3 linked regions of the Callithrix jacchus genome follow. Each later gene encodes a partner of the first gene's protein in a complex. Links are inferred from orthologs where the notes say so. Each region holds a gene or a part of one and is shown in the gene's direction. Other genes may lie near its edges.

Region 1 (6,526 bases):
TGGTTCATGCCTGTAATCCCAGCACTTTGGGAGGCTGAGGTGGGTGGATCACCTGAGGTTGGGAGTTCAAGACCAGCCTGGCTAATATGGTGAAATGCTGTCTTTACTAAAAATAGAATAAATTAGCTGGGTGTGGTGGCACGAGCCTGTAATCCCAGCTACTTGGGAGGCTGAGGTAGGACAATAGCTTGAACCCGGGAGACAGGGGTTGCAGTGAGCCGAGATCGTGCCATTGCACCCCAGCTTGGGCAGCAAGAGCAAAATTCTATCTCAGAAACAAAGAATGTGCAGTTAGCATCCTTACACTGACACACTCGTAGACTATACTAATCATACTGGAGCAGCACCCATTATATATTACAAATTGGTCCATTTTGCAGATAAGGAGACTGAGGCTTAGAGAGGTGAAATGACATTCAACAACTAAGTGGCCAGGCTGGGATTTTGCCTGAGCCCAAAGCCATCCTTTTCCCCACGGTGCTGTGGAGGGGGTGAAGTGAGGGAGGCAGGGGTCCTCTCTAAGAGAACCCTCTAAGAGAAAGGTGGACTAGATGACAAGAAAGGCCACCCGGAAGAGGGTTTATCCGTTCAGTCAGTGGAACAAGAGGACACACATAAGTTGAGACAGGAACTCAAGAGAAGATAGACAAGTTCTCCAGAAAAGTTTCCCAACCAATCTTTTGCCTGTATCTCTGATGGCTTCTCAGTCTCAGCTACCTGGGACTAAAGAAACAGGGATTGGAGTAGCAAGCAGAGGCAGAGATAGGAAGAAAGGTGGCCAGCCCAGCCGCATCTCTACAGACCCCTGGTCTCCTGGTGCATCCCTCCCAAATGCCTCCCACATGCCACGCACTCTGGGTGCAGCATCTCAATCCTGAGAGGTAGGCGTTATCGCCCATTTTATAGATGGGGAGATAGAGGCACAGGGAGGTTTAGTAACTGGCCTATTGTTGCAAAGACGCTGAATGACAGGGCTGGGATTCAAACCCTGGTCCACCTGGCCTGCAAACCCATGTTGTGCCTGGCAGCTTCTCAGTCACCCTGTCGGTTCCCCCACCCTTGTTACCTGTGGCTGGGAAAAGGATGGCCTGGGAGACATCCTCCTTCTCGGGTTCAGATCCCCTGCGTGTGGAGCCCCCGAGGGCATGTCTTCGGGGCAGCCGCCTGACTCCAGGGTCCCCACCTTCCTTGGTCACTGCCGGGGGCCCCAAGGCATCCAGGAACAGGGCCCTCACCTTGGCCAGAACAAGCTCCCGGGCCAGCTCTGACCCTTCGCAGCTGTGTCCACCCTGTGGGGCCAGCAGCAAGAAGAGCAGCAGTGGCAGTGCCATGGCTCACCTGGCCCTACTAGCGGGGAACCCACTCCCTGCCCTGTGCCCCTTCTGCCAGGGTGTGCCCAGGGCCTCCCTGCTTTCCCCTCCTCATCCCACACCCACCCTCTTGTATGCTTCTCACCCAGTCTTCCCCAGTCCTTCCCACGCCCCACAGTCCGAGTTGCCCCTGCCCGTGGCATTGAGACCTCCTATCTCTGACGTAGATGCCTGTGGCCATGAGCCTTATCTCCCACTCCCGCCAGGAATGTGGGGGAGGGGCTGGAGAGGGTTTCGCCCCAAGCGACCCGACCCTCATGCAAACATACAACCCCTTCTCCCTGCACACATACACACAAACACACACACACACATCCAGAGGGGACATCAACTCCCTATTCACACACACACACACACACACACACACACACAGTCTCACATCCAGAAGTGACATCAAGCCTGGGAGCTGTAGCCGGCCAGCCCCAGAAAGTGTCATTTGTCCAGGAGACAGAGTGCACCACCCCTCAGACCTTCTGGGGCCCCTTTCAATGAGCAGCTGCTGGGCAGGCCAGCCACTGGGGGAAGGGCTGGGGCCAGGGCTAGAACCGGAGCTAGGGCGGGGGCCAGGTGGTCCCGCCTGCTCTATACTTAGCCCAGAGGAGCCAGTCTGGGCTCTTGTCCTCCAGCTGTGTCATCAGAGAATATTTTTGGGATTGGCAGCTGCAGGCGCCTCTGCCACTCAGGCCCAAGCCTGGCGGGCAGGCGGCTGGGGACCTGGTGACTGGAGGTGGGAGGGAGGAGGGGAAAGAGGCCCAAGCTGTGGGAGGGGGCTGGGAAGAGAGCCTCCCCAGAGCAGGAAGCCAGGCCGCAGGCAGAGGAGGCTGCGGGGCCCCTCGCTGGAGAGCCAAACAGGAAGGACTGCCCCCTAAGTGCCGGGCTCTGGGTCAGGGAATCGCCGCCGCCGCAGAGTTGCAGCTCCAGACCGAGGACAGGGAGGCGAGCAGGGAGCGGGCAGCCTGGGAGAACTCCGCGGATCCCCGCGCCCCGGTCCCGGAGCCCTCGCCGCCGCCTCCGGCCTCGGCTCGCCCTCCGCCCACCCTCCCTGGTTCGCCACTGCGGGCGGTCTGTGGCCGCCGCGATGAAGGCAAGCTCGGGGGACCAGGGGAGCCCCCCGTGCTTCCTGCGCTTCCCGCGGCCCGTGCGGGTGGTAAGTGGCGCCGAGGCCGAGCTCAAGTGCGTGGTCCTGGGGGAGCCGCCGCCCGTCGTGGTGTGGGAGAAGGGCGGGCAGCAGCTGGCGGCCTCGGAACGCCTGAGCTTCCTGGCGGACGGCGCGGAGCACGGCCTGCTGCTGAACGGCGCGCTGCCCACCGACGCGGGGGTCTACGTGTGCCGCGCCCGCAATGTGGCCGGAGAGGCCTACGCGGCGGCCGCCATCACCGTGCTGGAGCCGCCGGCCTCCGAGCCCGAGCCGCAGCCCGCCGAGCTCCCGCTGCCGCCGCCGGGGTCCGGGGAGGGCGCCCCGGTCTTCCTGGCGGGGCCGCGGTCCCAGTGGGTGCTGCGGGGGGCGGAGGTGGTGTTGACGTGCCAGGCCGGGGGCCTCCCCGAGCCCACGCTGTACTGGGAGAAGGACGGGATGGCGCTGGACGAAGTGTGGGACAGCAGCCACTTCGCTCTGGAGCCTGGCCGGGCCGAGGACGGCCCGGGCGCGAGCCTGGCGCTGCGCATCCTGGCCGCGCGGCTGCCGGACTCCGGTGTCTACGTGTGCCACGCCCGCAACGCGCACGGCCACGCGCAGGCTGGCGCGCTGCTCCAGGTGCAGCAGCCCCCTGAGAGCCCGCCCGCGGACCCCGATGAGGCCCCCGCGCCCGTGGTGGAGCCGCTCAAGTGCGCGCCCAAGACCTTCTGGGTGAACGAGGGCAAGCACGCCAAGTTCCGCTGCTACGTGATGGGCAAGCCCGAGCCCGAGATCGAATGGCACTGGGAGGGCCTCCCGCTGCTCCCGGACCGCCGCCGCCTAATGTACCGCGACCGCGACGGCGGCTTCGTGCTCAAGGTGCTCTACTGCCAGGCCAAGGACCGCGGGCTCTACGTCTGCGCCGCGCGCAACTCCGCGGGCCAGACGCTCAGCGCAGTGCAGCTGCACGTGAAAGGTACGGCAGCGCCCGGGGCCCGGGGAGCGGCCTTGAGTGTCCTCGGAGGCCCGCCGAACCCCGGCCCCTCTCGGTGCCCGGCGCTGCCCTGAAGACTGGGGGAGGGGAGGTCGGCGGGAATATTAAAAGACCCAACCCGCCTGCCTCCCACTCCCCAGGGATTCGGATTTAGTAGGTCTCCAGGGTGCTCAGCAACTTCTTAGAAAACTCCCCAAGTGATTCTGAGGCAGATGGTGGAACACCACTAAGAAGTGATTGATGTACAAACCTAGAAGGGCCTAGAACTCTTCTCCCCTAGTGGTTTTCATCGTCTTTGTTATTTTACTCCTCCTTCCCCAACTGAATTCACAACCGGAGCCCCAATAGATGAAACAGATAAAGGAGTGTTTTATGGGTGTAAATTGCTAAGTCTACGTGTGTAACAGGCTTCTAAAGCATCAGTGAGAATCAGGAGGCCGTTTTATTGAATATAGGCATTTGAAGTGAAGGCTGCATTCGTGGTTCAGGCTCTGAACCCCGTGGAGAGGGGACGGCCTGGCTGCATCTGTCACCTTGAGAAACCACCGTTTCAGTGGAAAGGTAGACTTGAGGGTGGACAAATTTCCTGAATGTTTTTACTGTTCTTTGATTAAACTGCTCCCCACTTTTGAAAGAAGAGGAAGGTGAAGGAACAATATCCAATAAATGCTTACATTCTCATAAACAGAAAATTCAAAGGGAAAAAAACACACCCCAAACTCACTGGAAGGTAACAGTCTCCATAACAGTATTTCATCACAGTGCAAAGGATTACGCCTTCACTAGTTGTCCAGATTTTTCTCTAGGAGGAAAAACAAAGTTGGTAAATTATCCTGAGTCCTGCCTGGCATGCAGTCAAGCATGTGGCCCCCCCAGGCTGTGGTGGTGGCCTCACTGGTACAGTTCGATGTGCACAGATTCGCCAGGCTGATGTGGATCTGGACCTCCATCAGGGAGGAAAAGCCCTGAGGGAGGGCTAGAGGTGCTTCCCAGAGTTGCACACACAAAAAAAACTTGCTTTTCCAGCAATCTAAGTTAACCTGGTTTCTAACATCCTGTTTTCTTTTTTTTGAAATACACTTTTTTTTTTTTGAGACAGAGTTTTGCTCTTGCTGCCCAGGCTGGAGTGTAATGGTGCAATCTTGGCTTACCGCAACCTCTGCCTCCCAGGTTCAAGCCATTCTCCTTCCTCAGCCTCCCAAGTAGCTGGGATTAGAGGCATGCGCCACAGTACTCTGCTAATTTTGTGTTTTAGTAGAGATGGGATTTCTCCTTGTTGCTCAGGCTTGTCTCGAACTCCCGACCTCAGGTGATCCACCCACTTTGGCCTCCCAAATTGCTGAGATTACAGGCAGGAGCCACCTTGCCTGACCGAAATACACTTTTGAAAAGAGTTAAAATATTTTAAATTCTACTCAGGCCTTTGTGGAATATATGAAATACCTGGGGGAGTGGGGGCAGGAACAGTTTGGAAATCACCAATGTGGTCCAACCCTTTCCCTCTCTGTTCCCATTTTCCAAGTAAGGAGACTGAGGCTCAGAAACATTGAAATGGACTCTCAAGGTGATGCGGCTAGTAAGTGTCAGGCCCGGATGAGAACTTAGGCCATCTTAGGAACTACCACTTGCCTTCTGGTGGTTTTCTGTGATTCCACTGTGCCTGCTGGCTCTGCGTGAAGAGCACCCAGCCTGAACTAATGCGCTCTGAGGAGTCCTCCTCCTAGTCTAGCCCTTCTCCAGAGCCCTCTCTTGTCTCTCCCCTCTCCATAGAGCCCCGCCTCCGGTTCACAAGGCCCCTGCAGGATGTGGAGGGCCGTGAGCACGGGATTGCCGTGCTGGAGTGTAAAGTACCCAACTCCCGCATCCCCACGGCCTGGTTCCGAGAGGACCAGCGGCTGCTGCCCTGCCGCAAGTACGAGCAGATTGAAGAGGGCACCGTCCGGCGCCTCATCATCCACAGGCTGAAGGCAGACGACGACGGTGTCTACCTGTGTGAGATGCGGGGCCGGGTGCGCACTGTGGCCAATGTCACAGTCAAAGGTCGGCTGGCCCACAGGGAAGGGGCTGAGGCAGAGGCAGGCAGGTGCTCAGACTCCAGGCTGATGGATTCCTGTCTGCATCTCAGGGCCCATCCTGAAGCGCCTGCCCCGGAAGCTTGATGTCCTGGAAGGAGAGAATGCGGTGCTGCTGGTGGAAACTCTAGAGGCCGGGGTCCAGGGACGGTGGAGTCGTGATGGAGAGGAGCTGCCGGCCATCTGCCAGACCACCTCGGGCCACATGCATGCACTGGTCCTTCCAGGGGTCACCCGAGAAGATGCTGGCGAGGTCACCTTTAGCCTGGGCAACTCCCATACCACTGCGCTGCTCAGAGTCAAATGTGAGGGCAGGAAGGCCTCTGGACAGGCGGGCCAGGGTGGGAGGTTGGCCAGATGCCCCAGCTGGGTTGGAGAAGCAGATTTAAGGTGGAAGGGCTGTGGAGGCCCGAGCAAGGCTGGAACACATCCTTGCCTTGGTCTCAGGCATCAAGCACAGTCCCCCAGGGCCCCCCGTGTCGGCAGAGATGTTCAAGGGCCAGAAGAACACGGTCCTGCTGACCTGGAAGCCTCCCGAGCCTGCTCCCGAGACCCCATTCATCTACCGGCTGGAGCGGCAGGAAGTGGGCTCTGAAGACTGGATTCAGTGCTTCAGCATCGAGAAAGCCGGAGCTGTGGAGGTGCCGGGCGACTGTGTGCCCTCCGAGGGTGACTACCGCTTCCGCATCTGCGCAGTCAGTGGACATGGTCGCAGTCCTCACGTGGTGTTCCATGGTTCTGCTCACCTTGGTGAGTTGGTCCTGTCAGACCCGCCCATCACTTCTCCCTTCCCCAGCCCTCAGTGCTGGTCCTCTCACAGGCCTACCATCTGCCAGCCTCTGCCCTCTAGTTCTAACAGCTGCACTCTGTCACTGCCTCAGTGCCCACAGCTCGCCTGGTGGCAGGTCTGGAAGACGTGCAGGTATACGACGGGGAAGATGCCGTCTTCTCCCTCGATCTCTCCACCATCATCCAG
Region 2 (6,253 bases), on another chromosome or scaffold:
ACTGGAGCCTCAACCTCCTGGGCTCAAGCTACCTTCCCACCTCAGCCTCCCCAGTAGCTGGGACTACTGCGTCATCACCTCCCAATACCTTTTTGACTTTTTGTAGAGATGGGGTTTCATCGCGTTGCCCTGGCTGGTCTGGAACTCCTGGGCTCCAGCGATTCATTGGCCGTGGCCTTTCAAAGTGCTAGGATTATAGGCCTGGACTACCTCACTAGGCTTTAATTAACATTTTTGATTGCTAAAAATTCAATCATTCCAAAAGGGTATAGAGTGAAAAGTACATGTCTCTCCCCCACCTTTTGGGGACTCCCAGTCCTCCTCCCTAGAAACAGCCACTCTTGGCAATACTTGTACATGTGACCAGCATTGGTACACATGTTGACACCGAAGGCAGGTTATTCTGGATTCAAATCCAAACAACCACTTCCTGACTTGACCTTGAGAGAGTGGTTTTATGTCTTTGGGCCTCAGTTTCCTCAGCTGTCTAATGGGAATGGTACTCATGTTACGAGTTTCCTGTCATAGCAAGGATTTCTCAAGTTCATTCTTAGAAAGGTAGGAAGTGCCTCATAAGCCGGGCCTACGGTTAGCCATCTCGTTTTGTTCAACGCTGCGAAATATTTCACTGTAAGACACTACCATCACATAGAGGCAGTCTCTGCTCATGAACTTTTAGGGATTTTGTTGTTGTTGTTGTTGTGCTCTTTGCACTTTTGTTTTTTTTGAGACAGAGTCTCCCTCTGTCACCCAGGTTGGAGTGCAGTGGCCCAGTCTCGGCTCACTGCAACTTCCACCTCCAGCTTCAAGAGATTCTCCTGCCTCAGCCTCCAGAGTGGCTGGGACTACACACACACACCACTACGCCCGGCTATTTTTTAAATTTTTATTTTATACGGAATTTAGGTCTGTCACCCAGGCTAGAGTGCAGTGGCTCGATCTTGGCTCACTGCAACCTCCACCTCCTGGGTTTAAGCAGTTCTCCTGCCTCAGCCTCCAGAGTAGCTGAGACTACGCACGGGCACCACCACGCCTGGCTAATTTCTTTTTTATTTTTGAGACGAGTCTCACTGTTGCTCAGGATGGAGTGCAGTGCAGTGGCTGATCTTGGCTCACTGCAACCTCCGCCTCCCGGGTTCAAGTGATTCTCTTGTCTCAGCCTGCTGAGTAGCTGGGATTACAGGCACCGACCACCATGCCTGGCTAATTTTTTTGTATTTTTAGTAGAGACAGGGTTTCACCGTGTTAGCCAGGATGGTCTGTCTCCTGACCCCGTGATCTGCCCACCTCAGCCTCCCAAAGTGCTGGGATTACAGGCCTGAGCCACTGCCCCCGGCCGAGCCCGGCAAATGTTTGTATTTTTTTTTTTTTTTTTTTTTTTTTTGTACAGAGGAGGGATTCACCACGTTGGCCAGGCTTCTCTCGAACTGCTGGCCTCAAGTGTTTGTTCCACCCGCCTCGGCCTCCCAAAGTGCTGAGATTACAGGTGTGAGCCACCGCCCCGGGCCATGAACGTTTAGGTTATTCATCCACTCAAAACTATGCATTGAGCCCCGACCTTGTGCCACGCGCCACAGTGGGACTGTTGCAATAAGAACCTGGTACCCATTTCTCTACCCACGTGTGTGGGTGTACGGGTACCGATGGTCGCGTGAATTTAACATGCTCATCTATAGTGCCAGTGGCCCTCAAAAGGTCGAATCCACTAGCACAGCCACCTCCGGGGTTTGGCTGGGACTTGTCCATTTCGGAGGGCAGGTCTGGAAACCGCTGCCTTTCAGGAAAGGTGCTGACGTGGGCTACAGCCGCTTCGCTGGGAAGCAATGGGCCCAGTTAGGCCCGGGACGCGGCCACACCCCTGTGGGGGAGGGGAGGGAGGCCGCCCCGAAGGGAGTGGACAGCCCCCCTGTCAGTCTTCCCGAGTCCGGGAGTGTAAGATGAGACGGGGAAGGTGGGCCTCGTTCTAGGGGAAGGCGAGGAGGAACTTCCTGCCCCTGCGCTCCAAGGTGCAGAGCCCTAAGCGCGCGGCCTGGCAGGCTGCAGCGTGTCAAGGTCAGCCTGGAGCTGGGTGGCGGCCTGCCTGGGGGCGGGGTACCCAACTGCGGGGCCCGGCTGAGGCCTCCCAGCCCCTCGGCCATATTGAATAGCCTGGGCTGGACCGTCTTTGTCTGCGAATTCCTCTTCCAAGTTCCAGCCGCGTCCCCGGTGCCTGGGGCAGGAAGAATCGCTGGCAGCTCGCGCGCCCCAACTTGGAGCTGGACCACCACGTTTCCAGCTTGGAGTGGGCCTTGAGCCTCGGGACTGACCTCGCCCCCGCCCACGTAAGCATCCTGGAAATTGATTCCTCCAAGTCCGTGGCAAGGGAGCAGGACTTGGTCAACACTGGACTTGGTACAGGCGAAGAGATAGGAGGCGTGGGCTCGTCCCTGGCCTGGGGAGGAGACTCTCCGATCAGCGTTGCTGGCACTCCCCCGGCCTCCAGTCCCTCCCTCAAGACTGTAGCTTGTTGGGGCTCATTGCCCCCTCACCTCAGATACCACTCTGGAGATCTTAAAGACTCTCGAGAAAAGCCACGTGGGGGGCTGGTTCCCCTGGGGCTTCCTCCCGTCCCCCGACTGCCTAATTCTTTGGAGCGTCCCCGATGTCTGCAAAGATGTGGATTTGGACGTCCTCGTGGAAGCCCTGAAGCCCGTGGGGACTTTTAAGAAGATCGGGAAGGTGTTCCGCAAGGAGGAGGACTCCACGGTGGGGATGCTGCAGATTGGGGAGGACGTCGATTATTTGCTCATCCCCCGGGAGGTCAGGCTGGCCGGGGGCGTCTGGAGAGTCATCTCCAAGCCCGCCACCAAGGAAGCAGAATTTCGGGAGCGGCTGATCCAGTTCCTGGAAGAAGAAGGCCGCACCCTGGAGGACGTGGCCCGAATCATCGAGAAGAGCACCCCGCACCCGCCCCAGCCCCCCAGAAAGCCCAGGGAGCCCCGAGTGAGGAGAAGAGTGCAGCAGATGGTGACTCCTCCGCCCCGGTTGGTCGTGGGCACCTACGACAGCAGCAATGCCAGCGACAGTGAGTTGAGCGACTTCGAGACCTCCAGAGACCAGAGCCGCCAAGGCCCGCGGCGGGGCAAGGCGGTGCGCAGGATGCCGGTCAGCTACCTGGGCAGCAAGTTCCTGGGCAGCGATCTGGAGAGCGAGGATGATGAGGAACTGGTCGAGGCCTTCCTCCGGCGAGAGGAGAAGCAGCCCAGTGCGCCGCCTGCCCGCCGTCGCGTCAACCGGCCAGTGCCGATGTTTGAGGACAACCTGGGGCCTCGGCTGTCCAAGGCGGACAGGTGGCGGGAGTATGTCGGCCAGGTGTCCTGGGGGAAGCTGAAGCGGAGGGTGAAGGGTTGGGCGCCGAGGGCGGGACCCGGGGTGGGTGAGGCCCGGCTGTCCTCCACCGCATCAGGGAGCGCAGGAGTATCATCCGCGCCAGAGGGCACCAGCCCCAGGGATCGCGTGGGAAACGCGGGAGATGCCTGTGCGCCCCAGACCTCCCCCAGGCGATGGAGGCCCAAGATCAACTGGGCCTCCTTTCGACTCCACAGAAAGGAGCAGACAGCATCCACAGGTCAGGGGGCAGACTTCCAGGCTAATCATGGGGGAGAGGCTGCAGATAATCAGAGGGAAGGGGCCATAGCTGACCGGAGGGAAGAGGCCCCAGCTGACCAGGGGCCAGAGGCTGCAGATAACCAGAGAGAAGAGGTTGCTGATAATCAGAGGGAAGAGGCCGCAGCTGACCAGGGGCCAGAGGGTGAAGATAACCAGAGGGAAGAGGCTGCAGATAATCAGAGGGCAGAGGCCCCAGCTGACCAGGGGTCAGAGGCTGCAGATAATCAGAGGGCAGAGGCCCCAGCTGACCAGGGGTCAGAGGCTGCAGATAATCAGAGGGCAGAGGCCCCAGCTGACCAGGGGTTAGAGGCTGCAGATAATCAAAGGGAAGAGGCCGTACATGACCAGAGGGAAAGGTCCCCAGCTGTCCAGGGTGCAGATAATCGGAGGGCCCAGGCTGCACATAATCAGAGGGCAGGTGCCCCAGGCATCCAGGAAGCTGAAGCTTCAGCTGCCCAAGGGACCACAGGGACAGCTTCAGGAGCCAGGGCCCGGAAACAGGTCAAGACAGTGAGGTTCCAGACCCCTGGACGCTTTTCGTGGTTTCGCAAGCACCGGAGAGCCTTCTGGCACACTCCCCGGTTGCCAACCCTGCCCAAGAGAGTCCCCAGGGCCGGTGAGGCCAGGAACCTCAGAGTGCTGAGGGCTGAGGGCAGAGCAGAAGCTGAGCAGGGAGAGCAAGAAGACCAGCTGTGAAGTGGGAGCTAGGGACAGCGCACAGGCCCTCCCTCCGTGTGGGGGAGAGAGGTTGATCTTTCTGCCTCTGAACTTGAAAACGGAGGTGGATGCTGCCCACATCTCCACCTAAGCACCCTCTTTATTCTCTTGTTAAAATCTAGTCTCATGCTTTGATTTTTTTTGTTGTTATTTTTTAGAGACAGGGTCTCACTCTGTTGCCCAGGCTGGAGTGCAGTGGCATGATCGTAACTCACTGCAGCCTCAAACTTCTGGCCTCAAGTGATCCTCCTGCCTCGGCCTCCCAAAGCACTGGGATTACAGATGTGAGCCACCATGTGCACCACCTGATTTTTTAAAAAAAGACTGATTCCTTGTAGCAACCCAAAGAATGTAAGGAAAGAAATCGATAGGATAGGGTGGCATCACCCATAGTTTTAGCTTTCTCAGATGCAACTCAAGGTGCTCAGTTTGAAACAGGAGAGAGGGAGGGCAGGGGGGAAACCGCCTCTGTTTCCATCTCCCTTCGCCTGCACACTTAATGTTGACTGCCTCCTTGGACTTAAAAAGAAGGCTTGAGCCAACATAGAAATAAAACATTCACGAACTGATTTCTTAGCTTTGGACTTGGCAAGTGACGAATGCTGTGGGGGTGACCTGGCCCTTGCTGTCCGTTCCACTCCCATCCTTGGTGGTGGAGACACATGTGTTTTTGTTGTCACTTCACTTGTCATCCTCGTGCGCCTGGGCTCTGCTGCTTTGGAGGGGACAGGGCCCTGGGTTTTCACACCTCACCCGATCTTGGTGATAAGGTACAGTAAAGGCATCCAGAAGGTGCATTCAAAAAACAGATTCTGGGGCCCTCGACGCCAGAGATGTGGATTTGCTAGCGCTGTCTGTGTGGCTCTGAATTCTGTTTGGATCAGGTGCCACAAACATCTGGGCAACTTGGCTGCAGGACTTTGGAAACTCACTGCACTAGGAAAAGGCCCAAAAGAGGGTCTGTGGTGTATTATGCATTAATTCCTTCTTTTTCTTTTTTCTTTTTTTGAGACAGAGTCTCGCCCTGTCTCCCAGGCTGGAGTACAGTGGCTCGATCTCAGCTCACTGCAACCTCTGCCTCCTGAGTTCAAACAATTCTCTTGCCTCAGCCTCCTAAGTAGCTGGGACTACAGGCACCCGCCTCCACACCCAGCTAATTTTTGTATTTTTTTTTTTTTAGTAGAGATGGGGTTTCACTGTTGCCCAGGCTGGTTGCAAACTCCTGAGCTCAGGCAGTCACCCACTTTGGCCTCCCAAAGTGCTGGGATTACAGGTGTGAGCCACCATGCCCCGCCCTTTTATTATTTTTTGAGATGTAGTCTCACTCTGTCTCCCAGGCTGTAGTGCAGTGGCAAGATCCTCACTCACTGCAATCTCCGCTTCCCGGGTACAAGCATTCAAGTAATTCTCCAGCCTCAGCCTCTTGAGTAGCTGGAACTACAGGCCTGTGCCACCATACCAGGCTAATTTTTGTATTTTTAGTAGAGATGGGGTTTCACCATGTTGGCCAAGCTGGTTTCGAACTCCTGATCTCAACTGATCCACCCACCTTGGCTTCCCCAAGTTCTGGGATTACAGGCATGAGCCACTGCACCCGGCCAATTGCTTCTTATAATTGGGAAGAAATTGGTTTGCTAAGGCCCTGTGGAGGTTTGGAGGAAGCTGGGGGCCTCTCTCTGTATTGCTTTGTGTCCCCAAAACCCCCAGCAGTGAAAACAGCAAATGACCACACTCGAGCCTTGCTGAGGGCAGGAGAAAAGGGAGTTCATGGAGGAGGTCCAAGGACCAGTTCTGTCTACCTAACTGGTGTAGGCCTAGACTGAGTTTCTTATTTTTTTTCTCTGGGAAGTAAAGAAATCTGTCCCAGCCCCTTCTTTTGTTGTTCTCT
Region 3 (5,793 bases), on another chromosome or scaffold:
CTCGCTTGAGTCCAGAAGTTCGAGTCCAGCCTGAGCAACATGGGGAAACCTTGTCTCTACCAAAAAAAGTACAAAAATTAGCCAGGTGTGGTTGCATGTGCCTGTAGTCCCAGCTACTCAAGAGGCTGAAGTGGAAGGATCACTTGAGTCCAGGGAGGTCAAGGCTGCAGTGAGCCCTGATTGTACTACTGGACTCTAACCTGGGTGACAGAGTAAGACCCTGTCTCAAAAATAAAATAAAATAAAATTTAATTAAAATTAGGAAATTGCCTGACTCCAGACTATCTTCAAAATAAGATTTTTGAAGGATTTAATTATTGTATTTCATTAACAAAGGAAGTGAACTATTAAAGTAGTATATTTTTCAAACAATACAAAGCTGTATTTTCATCCCATTGATAATGACATACCTGATACTGGGTAATTTATAAGAAAAAGAGGTTTAAAGGACTCACAGTTCCACGTGGCTGCGGAGGCCTCACAATTATGGTGGAAGGTGAAAGGCATGTCTTACATGGCGATAGGGAAGAGAGAGAATGAGAGCCAAGTGAAAGAAATTTCTTCTAAAACCATCAGGTCTCGTGAGAGTTATTCACTACCACAAGAACAGTATGGGGGGAACCATCCCCATGATTCAATTATCTCTTACCAGGTCCCTCCCACACACATGGGAATTATGGGAGCTACAATTCAAGATGAGATTTGGGCAGGGACACAGCCAAACCATATCAAAAGCCATATTTGATTTAGCGAATCCTGAGAACTTTAGATGCCTCATCCCCCATTTCCTCCAAATCTCTCCTCCAGTCCAGCTCACATTACAGGGAGTGGTTTGCTGCAGATGAATGAAACTTGGGGATGCCTCGCCTGTGCTTGCTGTGCTTTCAGTGGGTTTCCTTGTTTTTGCTACAGTGTGAGGCAGGAACAGAAAATTGGCAGCGAGTGAACACGGAGCTCCCTGTGAAGTCTCCCCGCTTTGCACTGTTCGACCTGGTTGAGGGGAAATCCTACTGTTTCCGCGTCCGCTGTTCTAATTCTGCAGGAGTTGGTGAGCCCTCCGAGGCAACGGAGGTGACTGTGGTAGGGGACAAACTTGGTAAGCAACTGTAAACTTCTTTTACTTTAAGAGAAAATTTTAAAGCAGGAATCTAAGTTGTATATGTATATTTGGCCAGGAGTAAAAATGGTGACATCTTTCTTTCACATTATAAATTTAGTTCTTTCACATTATAAACTTAGCCTATACATTAAACAACAATTCAGTGTTTTTGTTAATGAAAAGTAAACTTCCTTGGGAGTTTCAACAATATTGATAATGTGTTTTTTTCTGAAGTTCATAGATATTTAGTGTATCCATGCTCCCTTACTAACAGTTTTTTAATTTTCTGCTTTAAAAGATACAATGTAGGCCAGGCCTGGTGGCTCACCCCTGTAATCTGAGCACATTGGGAGGCCAAGGCAGGCAGATCACCTGAGTCCAGGAGTTTGAGACCAGCCTGGCCAACATGGTGAAACCCCATCTCTACTGAAAATACAAAAATTAGCTGGGAATCCTGCCGCATGCCTGTAATCCCAGCTACTTGGGAGACTGAGGCAAGAAAATTGCCTGAACCCGGGAAGTGAAGGCTGTAGTGAGCTGAGCCTGTACTGCTCACTGCCATCGCTCTCCAGCCTGGGCAACAGAGCAAGACTCGGTCTCAAAAAAAAAAAAACCATAAAAGCAGCTGTCCTTTTGACATGATGAAGTGTGTAAAATACCTGGGGGTCTGTTTGTGCATAGGTGATAAGGATGACTTTTTAAAACCACCTGAGTTTGATCACTGTTTTCCTCTTTCTCAGATATCCCCAAGGCTCCTGGCAACATCATCCCAAGCAGAAACACAGACACCTCAGTAGTAGTTACGTGGGAGGAGTCCAAAGATGCCAAAGAGCTGGTCGGGTACTACATAGAGGCGAGCGTTGCTGGCTCTGGCAAATGGGAGCCCTGTAACAACAACCCTGTGAAGGGCTCACGGTAACTGAACCAGGCGTGCAGAGCGGGCCATGGCCTCTGGAGCTGCTATAGACACACATGGCACACAGACATCCAGTGAGGGAGATTTTTTAAAAAAACATTATACTTTTTGGCCGGATGCGGTGGCTTACACCTGTAATCCTAGCACGTTGGGAGACTGAAGTGGGAAGATTGCTTAAAGCCAGAAGTTAAAGACCAACCTGGCCAACAGTGAGACCCCATCTTTAAAAATAAAAATAACAAAATAACATTATACTTTAAATAAGCCAGATGCAGTGACAGGCCTGTACTCCTAGCTACTCAGGAAGCTGAGGTGGGTGGATCACTTGAGCTGAGGAGTTGGAAGCTGTAGTACCCATTGACCAGGCCTGTAAATAGCCAGTATATTCCATCCCAGGCAACATAGGAAGACCCATCTCTAAAAAAGGAAATCAGAACAAGGCTGGGTATGATGGCTCATACCTGTAATCTCAACACTTTGGGAGGTCAGGGTGAGCAGATTGCTCGAGCCTAGGCATTTGAGACCAGCCTGGGCAACATGGCAAAAACCCACTTCTACAAAAAACATAAAAATCAGCCCAGCATAGTAGTGTGCCTATAGTCCTAGCTACTCAAGAGGTTGAGGTGGGAGAATTACTTGAGCCTGGGAGGTCGAGGCTGCAGTGAGCTATAATCACACCACTGCACTCCAGCCTGGAGACAGAATGAGACTCCGTCTCAAAAAAAAAAAACAAAAAAACCGATTACACTTAAGACATTTAAATGAATTTAAAATTGAACATATTAGATGCAATACATCTTTTTAAAAAGGTTTACTTGTGATGAAACACTTAGCAACATATAATGCCAGCTATTGTAAGAGTTCATTTAATAGTGCTTTTCCGTTTTTTTCCTTTATGCTGCTTCTTCCTTTTTTACCCCTCTGATTTTGTATGTAATATGAAACCTGATACTAGATTCTGAGGATCTAACATACTCTACTTAACATAAATCACCCAGGAATTTTAAATGAAGAGAGAAAAAGTATCAACATTTTACAAATTCTGAACATCAACATGATTAAACCCAAATGCTACACAGACATAAGTAACACCAAAACTAAGATATTCACAATACTTTGCTGCCTCTTTGTATCTGTTTTTAATGGGGGAGCATTGGTTTTTTCCTTGCTTTCAACTATTTTATCAATCGGCTTTGCACATTGATGGTGAATTCTGGTCTACACCCAGACCAGAGACCAGTCTGAGACGGGGATGCCACCGTCCCCAAAATTGTCAAATAGTTTTGTTCGGCAGCTTCTGGCTTGGATCACTTCTCAATCCGAGGACCCCCCCATAGGATGAGTTGGTTTTGCACAACATGAGAGAATAGAGGCAAACAGATTAATTAGGGAAGGCAATATGTTTTGAAAAAGATTCATTTAGCCTGTTGGTGCATTTCATTTTTCCTCTGAGTTACCCAGCATTTTCCTAGGACCATTTAGAAACACTGGTGGTGTGTAGGCAGGAGCTGCTGGGGGGCAGGAACCATTTTTTGTTCATCTTTTGTCCACAGTAACTCCTAGCTCAGTGTCTGGAACACGGAGACCTCAATAAATCTTCGCTGAAGCAAGCTGACCCTAAGGACTGAAGGACTGGCCTGGATTATGGCTCCTTTATTAAATACTTGAACATGCTAATAGTCATAGATTCATTAGCAGACCTGTTACTTCCTCTGGCTGCAATCCTTAGGATGGATTCAAATGTTACAGTGATTCATGAACAGCTATTTATAGCCATGATAGCTATGAAAAGAGTGAGGTTGTCTTGTGGATGAAACTGCCCATGGATTCACACTTCATTATTGGATCCTCATATCTAAATAGTAATTCTAGAATTCATTGTTCACCTTATCTTCAGATTCTAGAGTGATTTCCCAAGTAAGTACCTTCCTTGGCATCCAGGGAGACAGTGACTAGCCTCTATGACAAGGAGCCACCAATTAATCATATTATTAATTGGATATCAGGCTTAATACCTGGATGATAAAATAATCTGTACAACAAACTCCTGTGACATGAGTTTACCAATATAACAAACCTTCACATGTATCCCTGAGCCTAAAAGTTAAAAACTATATGTGAGTTATACTCTAAAATTATTTCTTAAATAACATTATTACTATTAACTATTATTTATTAAATGCCTCATATATGCCAGACCGTATAATAGGTACTTCATATACTTTATAATTAACTCTACATGAATATTATCATGTAAGCATCATTATCCCTATTTTACCGGTGAGCATTCAGAGGAAGACCAGGGCTCCTCATTTTTTGACAAAGTAGGTTTAGAAAAGCACCTTAGTTACCTTCTTTCTAAAGTATATATGTTACCTGAATCTTTCTACATCTTTTTCTTTCTTTCAAAAAATGAATTATCACACACGTATGGTCCCAGCTACTTGGGAGGCTGATGCAGGAGAATCGCTTGAATCCAGGAGGTGGAGCTTGCAGTGAGCCGAGATCTCACCGCTGCATACCAGCCTAGGCAACAGAACAAGACTCTGACTCAAAAAAAAAAAAAAAGAATTATTAGCTGGACATGCTGCTTACACCAGTAATCCCAGCACTTTGGGAAGCTGAGGTGGGAGGGAGGATGGCTTGAGGCCAGGAGTTTAAGACCAGCCTGGGCAAAACAGCAAGACCCTGTTTCTATTGATCATAAATTCCCCCCCAAAAAAATAATAATAATTGTTTTCATAACGCCAGATCTACTCCATTAAGCTAACAATAATCTTCCTTAATCTTCCTCCTAAGAAAAATTTTAAAAAAATTTGTTTTCTTTTAGATTTACTTGTCATGGATTGGTGACTGGTCAGAGTTATATTTTCCGGGTCAGAGCAGTCAATGCAGCTGGACTTAGTGAATATTCCCAGGATTCAGAAGCTATTGAAGTCAAAGCTGCTATTGGTAAGTTCCTCATGCACAACTGCATAGAGGAAAAATGGATTTTTCTATGTTAGAAAGGAAGATGTCATCCTCTCTAGAAATTGTTTAAAGCTTCCACTATTCCTGGATTATTGCATCCTTAGATGAATATTTTCTCTGACTCTAGGTGATGTCTAACCTTCCATAGCTGTCATTTTACAGACCTTCATCACTTATCCAGATTCTGTGCATCCGTAGCCTTTTCATCTTCAGGAGTCCAAGTTTCCTCAGATATTTCCCATTGTGTGAAACTCCATTCTAATTTCGTGCTCATCCTGGGACTATGAAGGGCCATCCTGATTCCATGAAGTGGTACATCACCAATAACACAGATCATCTTGTCTCTAAAAGCCATTTCATCTATGCCAGAGCCTAGCTTGTCTTCGCTAACAGAATATTAATATGCTTCTTATAAATGCCTCTGAAATTCATGCAATGCACATGTAGTTGCTTAATCATATATTTCATCTCTACTTGCAAAGTAACCAACAGAATAAAACCAGTAATAAAGTAATTATATGTGTGTATGTGATGTACCTCCCAATCTTGGATAAAGTAGAAGGAGGGATAGAGGTGGTTAGAAACAATAAAAATTGTATTTGTGGGCTGAGCACGGGGGCTTACACCTGTAATCCCAGCACTTTGGGAGGCAGAGGTGGGCAGATCTCTTGAGTCCAGGAGTTCGAGACCACCCTGGGCAACACAGTGAGATCCCATCTCTAAAAAAAAAAAAATCAAAAAAATTAGCCAGGCATTGTAGTGCATGCCTATAGTCTCAGCTATTCAGCAGACTGAGGCAGGAGGATCA

The links.
Region 2: OBSL1 (region 1) and CCDC8 share a complex: the UniProt entries of both Homo sapiens proteins name them as parts of the 3M complex. The link is inferred for Callithrix jacchus from reciprocal best matches to the Homo sapiens genes OBSL1 and CCDC8.
Region 3: the proteins of OBSL1 (region 1) and MYOM1 are in contact, whole or in part, in a crystal structure (PDB 5FM5), measured with the Homo sapiens proteins. The link is inferred for Callithrix jacchus from reciprocal best matches to the Homo sapiens genes OBSL1 and MYOM1. Residues at the interface, in NP_056126.1 of Homo sapiens: Pro243, Lys253, Phe255, Val257, Asn258, Gly260, Lys261, His262, Ala263, Lys264, Phe265, Arg266, Cys267, Tyr268, Val269, Met270, Gly271, Lys272, Pro273, Pro275, Trp279, Lys305, Tyr308, Tyr317, Cys319, Ala321, Arg322, Asn323, Ser324, Ala325; in NP_003794.3 of Homo sapiens: Arg616, Pro617, Ser618, Ala619, Pro620, Trp621, Thr622, Gly623, Gln624, Ile625, Ile626, Val627, Thr628, Glu629, Glu630, Glu631, Pro632.

Annotation. Positions count from the first base shown.
Region 1 is NC_133507.1:141,310,502-141,317,027, reverse strand, and holds the start of OBSL1 (obscurin-like protein 1), read left to right. Parts: upstream 1-2,276; 5' UTR 2,277-2,448; coding exon 2,449-3,460; intron 3,461-5,248; coding exon 5,249-5,518; intron 5,519-5,603; coding exon 5,604-5,855; intron 5,856-5,997; coding exon 5,998-6,300; intron 6,301-6,431; coding exon 6,432-6,526. Other genes in the region: INHA (inhibin alpha chain), read right to left, coding at 1,067-1,331. UniProt on the Homo sapiens protein: Core component of the 3M complex, a complex required to regulate microtubule dynamics and genome integrity. It is unclear how the 3M complex regulates microtubules, it could act by controlling the level of a microtubule stabilizer.
Region 2 is NC_133523.1:40,425,611-40,431,863, reverse strand, and holds CCDC8 (coiled-coil domain-containing protein 8), read left to right. Parts: upstream 1-2,008; 5' UTR 2,009-2,751; coding exon 2,752-4,344; 3' UTR 4,345-4,934; downstream 4,935-6,253. UniProt on the Homo sapiens protein: Core component of the 3M complex, a complex required to regulate microtubule dynamics and genome integrity. It is unclear how the 3M complex regulates microtubules, it could act by controlling the level of a microtubule stabilizer.
Region 3 is NC_133514.1:60,439,592-60,445,384, forward strand, and holds part of MYOM1 (myomesin-1), read left to right. Parts: intron 1-912; coding exon 913-1,096; intron 1,097-1,839; coding exon 1,840-2,014; intron 2,015-4,845; coding exon 4,846-4,967; intron 4,968-5,793. UniProt on the Homo sapiens protein: Major component of the vertebrate myofibrillar M band. Binds myosin, titin, and light meromyosin. This binding is dose dependent.